Linked DNA regions of Oryctolagus cuniculus. The protein of the gene in region 1 interacts with the protein of each later gene in a pairwise test. Links are inferred from orthologs where the notes say so. Each region holds a gene or a part of one and is shown on either strand. Other genes may lie near its edges.

Region 1 (4,303 bases):
AGCGACGTGATCTCCACCTCCTTGCGGGCCAACTGCTCGGCGTACAGGAAGAACGTGGGCTCGTTGCCCGCAGCAAGCTGCAGTGCTTGGGTCAGGCTATCTGGGGCAGACGGGTCGGCCGGGTCCCCTGGAGCCCCGGCCCCCACCGGGCTTCTGCGCCCTGGCAGCCCAGAAGACAAGGCCACGGCGCGCAGCTGCTCCAGCTCCAGGTCCTTCTCGGCGAGCACGGCCAGGGCCCGGTCCCGCTGCTTGTGCAGCTCCTCCTCCAGTTTCAGCGTGCGGTCCCTGAAGTCCAGCCGGCTGCGCTCCAGCTCGTGCCGGTGCAGCTGCTGCAGCCGGGCCAGCTCCTGCTTCCAGGCCTCTGCCTCCCCCTGGTGCTGCCGCTCCAGCTCCTCACACGACAGCCGCAGGGAGATGTACTTCTCCTTCAGCTCGGCAAGCTGCTCCTGGGCGGCCTCCAGCTCCTTCGCCACGTTGCCATCTTTGGCATTCTTGCTCTTGAGGACAACCTGGGCCCTCATCTTATACCGTTCGAATTCTTCCTTCAGCTGCTTCAGCTCCTGCTGGTAGTAGAGCGCAGAAGCCTTCTCCCCATCAGTGGCGTCTGAGCTGCCCACCGTGTCCAGGTCACAGAGCTTCTCCACATCCAGGGTCACCTGGCTCTTCCTGGCGGCCACCTGCAGCAGTCTCTTCAGCTTCTCCATCTTATCCCTGAGGACGTTGACGTCCAGGCTGGACTCCTCCCCATGGCTGTCTAGAGGGGACCGGCTGGAGGCTGCCAGGGCCAGGGTCTTGTTCTCCAGGTCCAGCTGCAGAACGCGCTCCTTCAGCTTCTGGATGGCCAGCTGGTCCTTCTGCTTTGCCTTCTCGTACGTGCCCAGCAGCTCAGACACCTCAGATATCTGATTCTCCAGGGACGCCACCCTCTGCTCTTCCACCTGAGACTGCTGGCGGAGCTGATCTTCCGCAAGGGCTGTCTGCCAAAGACAAGACCAGAATACGGTCAGAAAAGTCACAAAGCCCCATGGCAAACTTTGTGTGCGTGTGTCCGGGGAGGAGGGCGACCGAGGGGAGCGTTTGGGGATTTTTCCGTTGATGCAGGATCCAACAGAAGTTCCTCTACCTGCTTGGGTTCTGCCCCCAAATACATATCATCTCAAACGATATGAAGCACCTCTGCACACCTGCTGTCACTCTGCTTTAGCGCTTCCACTTTCTCCTATCAGCTCACACCCAGCTTTGCTGTCTATCATATGTCACCTCACCCCGAACCCTATCATGAAATTACAGGACTTTGCTTTTCTCTTTCTCTATTCCTGGAAGTACAAAACTGAGTTGGATCTCCCTCCACCTGGACAGCAGACACTGTCATGACAGACAAACCTTGACAGAAAGCAATTACCATGGTTTATTTCTTCTGGGAAAATCCCTCTAGCTGCCTTCAGCTACCCTGCCCATGGGTACACAGCTACAGGCACACACTCGCTCTTTCACTGCACAGCGGCCGCTCGATGGCAGCTCGGAGAGCAGCTGGTACAGTGCCAACGCCCAGCAGCTCAGAGGGGCCTGGCTCCGACCCAGCCTAGGCTCGGAAACTCCACATCCTGTTGCAAGCACACTCCCAGGAGCTGGTCAACACCACCGCAGGAAAGGCTTTTCCAGGGCTCCCTGGTGCAACTTTTCAAGTAGCAGCAAAAATGACAGTGCAGCCACTTAGTTCTAAGTACCAAAGGAGGAGGGAAAAACAAAACCCCTCTTATCTCGCACTTCAAGCGAAATGACGGATATGTGAAGGAGATGAGGATAATTACCTTTCTCATTTCCTGCTGCAGCTGAGCCTGGAAATGGCTCTTGAGGCGAGCGGCCTCTTCCTGAAGCTCTTGGAGCCGGGGGTCCGGTCGATTCTTCTCCTCTCGGATGGCCTGCAGTTCACCTTTCAGCTCCTCCACCTGCCGGCTCAGCTGCTTGGTCTGCAGTTCGAAGCCTTCCATCTGCTCGGCTGCATAGGCCCGCCCGGCCAGGGCTTCCCGCGTCTCTTCCAGCCGAAGCTCCAGGTCCTGACGCTGGGTCCTCTCCTCCTGCAGCAGCTTCTGGAGCTCCCGGAGCATCAGGGCATGGTCACTCTGCTCCTGGGCCCTATCATGCTGCTGCGTGATCAGCCGGGCTTTGGTTTCGGCTATCTGCTCCTGCAGCCCCTTCAATTCTCCCTCCAGGCGGCCCCTCTCCTCTTCCGCCTTCTTATTGGCATCCTCTAGGTCCTGTTTCATCTTCTTCTTGTCGGCCAGGTAAGAAGCCTCCATGCGGGACTTCTCCTGGGTGACTGTAGCCAAAGAGCTGGTCAAAGTAGCCAGCTGAGTCTTCAGCTGGTGCAACCTCTTGTCCACCTCCCCACCTGCAAACGGCCCATCCCCACTGCTGCTGCTAACGCCGCTCTCCGACCCACTGGCCTCTTCCGACTTCGCAGGCGGTGGTCCGCGGGCCGGTCTGTCATCTTCTACCCCAAACTCACCCTTGATGCTGCTCAGACTGGCCGCAGTGTCCAGGCTGGTGGCGGTGCCGGTGCTATCCTCGCTGTGAGTGGAGCACCGGTCATCCACAGAGTCAGAGAAGGTGAGGCCTGGAGGCTGGACACCTGCGAGGCCCACATCCGCCTCGTGGGATACCGACAGCACCTTGATGCTGGCCTCCAGCGCCTCCTTCTCCTTCAGCAAGCTTTTGTAGGCGCGGACCACGTCCTTGAGCCTGGCCTGGTACTGGAGGAGCTGCTTCTTCTGAGACTCGATGGTTTCCAGCAGGTCCTTCTTGCTCGGGCCGCCCCCAAAATTCATCCCAAACTTCTCCATGGGGGCTGTGACCGAGCTGCTCCACGTCAGCGTTCCAGCAGTCCAGGAGAGCGACGCGACTACGCGGGCGGAGCCAGCAGGCGACGAGGAAAAGGTTGTCCCGCCGCGGCCGCACAGCTGCTCCACAGAGGTGTCCAAGCCCGGATGCGGGGTGGCGGGGCCGCCGGACAGAGGCCAGGGGGGCGGGAGCGGGTCCGCTCCTGGAGGCGGGGCGACGCTGGCGCGACAGGAGCTCCCGGCCTGGGAGCGCCCGCGCTAGCCTCGAAGCTGCTCCGCCCTCTCCGCTCCTCCGGGCCTCATCGGCCCGGCCCCGGCCGGCCCCCTCGGCCCACAGTTGGCTACAGGTTTACGCCGCGGGTGGCTCCATCTCGACTTCTTAACTACCGCAACCGGCCGACCACAGAGCTTCCGGGTCCGCAGGAAGTGACGCCAGCGCGTCGCCCTAGGCTCCGCCCCTACCGGCCGCGAGGTGGGCGGGGCTCCTTTAACTGGGGCTGCGGAGAAGTGCTGCCGGGAACCTCGGGGGCCGGGGCTTGCGGAGAGCGAAGGAAAGGAAGTTGAGGACCAGCGAGCGCAGTTGGTTTGCCCTTGGGCTGCGATCCGCGACCGACAGGGGGCGACGTTGCACTGCATTCTTAACAAACACTCCAGTGACCCATGCGTCCAGCCACAAGGACTTGGGGCTCAGGACCTGTGTCCCTAAAGGCCAACAATAAATGTTCCCATTAGGGCTATGAACACTGCAGCCCTTCCTAACACGGCACTTGGCACCTAGCTGGCTTATGGAATGCACATGGCACCTTACCATAGTTCCGTTGAGTTTAGTCAACGAATATTGATAGAGGACACCTTGCCGCCATGAGGTTCATCCTGAATGCGAACTATACGCCGGGAACCTCACAAGAAAATTGTTATTTAGGGGCGGGCATTGGGGCACAGAAGCTTAAGCGGACGCTTGGGATACCCGCATCCACTATGTGAGTGCAGGTTGAGTCCCCGCTTCTTCGCTTACCACCCAGTTTCCTGCTAATGCCCTTCTGGGAGGCAGCAGAAGGTAGCCCAGGTCGCTGGGTCCCTGAGACCTGGGTAAGAGTTCCTGGCTCCTGGCTTTGGTCTGACTGGTTCCTGGCTGTTGCAGGCATTTGGGGAGTGAAGCAGCAGATGGAAAAATCTTTCCCTTCTCTGTCTCTCCCTCTAGGTCACTTTGCCTTTCGAAGGAAGGAAGGCAGGAAGCAGGATTTTGCTATTTATTCTCCTGTGCAGATACATTAGCACTGTTTTACAGATGGGACATAAGGCACAGAGGTAAAGTAAGGGTCGGCGCTGTGGCAAAGCAGGTGAAGCTGCTCATTAAAATCCTGGCTGCTCCACTTGAGATCCAGCTCCCTGCTAATGTGACCACTCACGTGGGAGACCCAGGAAAAGTTCTTGGCTCCTGGCTTTGGATCGGCACAGCTCCA
Region 2 (3,566 bases), on another chromosome or scaffold:
CCAGCTCTCTGCTTATGGCCTGGGAAGGCAGTGGCAGATGGTCCAAGTGTTTAAGGCCCCTAAACCTGCGTGGGAGACCTGGAAGAAGCTCCTGGCGCCTGGCTTCAGACTGGCTCAGCTCCAGTTGTTGTGGCCATTTGAGGAGTGAACCAGTGGATGGAAGACCTTTATGTCTCTCCCTCTCTCTGTAACTACTTTTCAAATAAAGTCTTAAAAAAATATCAAAAGCTAGAATGGTTATTTCAGTTTTAATTCTAGTTGAGAGATGAGGTGTTTTGTACCAATTACTTACTTTTCTAATTAGAACTTTGAGCCATTACAATTCAAATGACTTTTAGACAATTTAATGACCTGAAATTCAAACAAGGAGATGACAAAAGTTTAACAGCTGAAAACAGGAGAAACATTTACCAGGTCACCAGAGTAATGATTCTCACCTTCGGACTCCTGTTATAGATATGATGAAGCTGCAAACCTGCTCATCAGAAAATCATACACACAGGCAAAATTTATGTGTAATTTCAGGAAATTCACAAATCCTGCCAAATCAGGATGCTAAGTTAACAGCTCTAACCCTAGAAAATAGAACAAGAGTATTACAGTGCCCAAGAAGTCACACAGCTCATGCTTGTCATCCTAAAACTTCATCTTAACAAACTTCAGCAAAAGCATTTAAGAATTTCTTTACAGGTGGCTAATGTTTTCATTAGCATACCCTACCATACAAGGATGAGATAATTTTGTTGGTGATAAACTTACATGTAAACATGAGAATGGCAAATAAATACTATATATTCTTACTGTTTCTCAGTCAACATGATGCTGTCCTATTTAGACATGCACTTTTCAAAGTTTACAATAAATGAAGCCTTTATTAACAGATTAACAGATTGTTAAGGAAAGTTTGTTTCCTTAAAGAAGCTGTTTCACTGACTTCAGTGGCAATCTTATAAAATGTTAAATCTAAAAATTACTTAAAATTATGACTTACATTAACATAATTGTGTGTACAGTTTATATTGCACTCTATATATGAAAAAAAAAACAGATATTCAAGGGATTCTCTAAGTTCCAAGGTTAAAAACCACAATACCTTGACTAAATAACATGATTACAAAGTTACTAAACACAGCATATGAGTATGCTTCACATCTCCTTTCTCTCTCCCATTTGTCACTTTATTCTAAAATTTCATTCACAGTTTATATTATTAATAAGACTTTTACTAATTTTTACAGGTAACTGACTACACTTTAAAAATTTTAAACAATTAAAAAGCAATACAAATGAATTTAATATTGATCAATGTTTGATCACAATGGATCAAATGAAGTGCCAAAAGCAAACCAAAACAATTCTTTTAAATATATAAATATTTAAATATAAGAACTATGTCATCAAATAGTTAAAGCATACTAATGGTTCTAGACGAAAGAGGAAGTGGGCAATTTCTGTCAGAGAAAGATTAAAAAATGAGAATTTTTAAGCAAACACTGCCTTTGAGACAGCCACTTGTTTTTAAAAAGTTAAACCCAATTTTATTTATATATAAAAACTAATTTTAAAAATCACACCCACAAGTAAAAAACTGGTAATGTGTTTACAAAGTACAATGTATCAGAGTACAGCAAATTCATCTCAAAGAAACAGTCTGTGTGGCTTCTCAAACTTTAAAATTCCCTTGGCTTCCACGGAAATGGTTAACATTTAGTGAGGCTGCAAAAAACACACACAGTCTATGTATGAAGCGTGAGCCTCTTAACACTTGCTATTAACTAATTTCAACATCAGATAGTATGTGACCTGGAAAATTAATTGTCAACATCTGATTGAGGAGGTACGTATTATCCGAATAAAATTTATGACCTGATAGTCAGTAATCCCAACACAAATCACCACTTTGTAATGAACTCTGTATGGTTTGCATGTCCTTCAATAACTGAAGATTTTTTCTGCTTTTTTCTCCAGGTCTCAATTTGGTATAATCCTTCTTATTTGTGTTCCCTGTGATTCCAGAACGGTTGCTACTGCTTCCTTCTTCTTCAGGGGTCTTCTTTGTGGCTCTTAATTCCTTCTTTTGCTTCTCTGTCTTCTGTTTCTCCAGCTACACCAAATAAAAATGCAGGGAAAAAAAAAGGAAAACATTTTCTTCTAACAATTAGGAAAACATTTTCTTACAGTCAGTACCTTTTTAGAAAATAACTCCCATAATGACCTGAAACAAAACTAATATATTCTAGGTTTACTATTTTAAAGATTCAAAAATCTGTAAACACCATTTAACATTCTACCCTCAAATACACAACAATATGCACACCAGTAAAGAGTTTTATGATACAGCCAGCATCAAAATTAAAATAGTGTTGTTGTCAAATGCAGAACTGATTGAAAAGCAAGACAAGGTATGACTTGGGAGATGATTCATGGAAGTAGCAAAAAAATCAGACATGGAAAAACATACAGGAAGAATTCTGACAGGAAGATGAGGAGAAAGGCATGGTAGAAACTAAGTCTTGAGTCTGAGCAAATTCCAGATGAGGAAATGCAGTGGTAATTACTACTAAAAATTTTACTCAATCCATTTACTAAAGAATAACTAAGTAGGAAAACATTTTTACTTTAGCTCAACTGCTGCTAGCAGTTGGTGCTCCCTTTGAGAAAATAAAACCAAGTCCAATGTACAAGAACAGGTCAGACTGTTACTCCCTACAGAAACAAGCCTGTATTTCTTTCTTGAACATGAACTATGGAAAAAGTACTTAAAAATCTAAGTTTCACCTAAGAATAACTGTGTGTTAATCACAGAGTTCAACCAATAGCACTAGAACAAAACAGAGAAAATACTAAAATGGATAAAGTATTACATTGTACATCAACAGTCAGGAGAAGAGCTGATCAGGTCACTGTTTCTCATAGTGTCAATTTCACTTCAACAGGTTTCCCCTTTGGTGCTCAGTTGTCGCCGATCAGGGAGAACATATGATATTTGTCCCTTTGAGACTGGCTTAATTCACTCAGCATGATGTTTTACAGATTCCTCCATCTTGTTGCAAATGACCGGATTTCATTGTTTTTGACTGCTGTATAGTATTCTATAGAGTACATGTCCCATAATTTCTTTATCCAGTCTACTGTTGATGGGCATTTGGGTTGGTTCCAGGTCTTAGCTATTGTGAATTGAGCTGCAATAAACATTAGGGTGCAGACAGCTTGTTTGTTTGCCAATTTAAATTCCTTTGGGTAAATTCCAAGGAGTGGTATGGCTGGGTTGAATGGTAGGGTTATATTCAGGTTTCTGAGGAATCTCCAAACTGACTTCCATAGTGGCTTAACCAATTTGCATTCCCACCAACAGTGGGTTAGTGTCCCTTTTTCCCCACATCCTCGCCAGCATCTACTGTTGGTAGATTTCTGAATGTGAGCCATTCTAACTGGGGTGAGGTGAAACCTCATTGTGGTTTTAATTTGCATTTCCCTGATTGCTAGTGATCTTGAACATTTTTTCATGTGTCTGTTGGCCATTTGGATTTCCTCTGCTGAAAAATGTCCTTGGCCCATCTCTTAAG

Evidence for each region.
Region 2: the proteins of GCC1 (region 1) and CEP57 interact in binary tests that used the Homo sapiens proteins (3 or more experiments, as listed by UniProt). The two-hybrid records come from large-scale screens. The link is inferred for Oryctolagus cuniculus from reciprocal best matches to the Homo sapiens genes GCC1 and CEP57.

What each region holds. Positions count from the first base shown.
Region 1 is NC_091434.1:164,051,268-164,055,570, forward strand, and holds the start of GCC1 (GRIP and coiled-coil domain-containing protein 1), read right to left. Parts: upstream 2,844-4,303; coding exon 1,812-2,843; intron 978-1,811; coding exon 1-977. UniProt on the Homo sapiens protein: Probably involved in maintaining Golgi structure.
Region 2 is NC_091432.1:87,262,513-87,266,078, reverse strand, and holds part of CEP57 (centrosomal protein of 57 kDa), read right to left. Parts: intron 2,105-3,566; coding exon 1,874-2,104; 3' UTR 1-1,873. UniProt on the Homo sapiens protein: Centrosomal protein which may be required for microtubule attachment to centrosomes. May act by forming ring-like structures around microtubules. Mediates nuclear translocation and mitogenic activity of the internalized growth factor FGF2, but that of FGF1.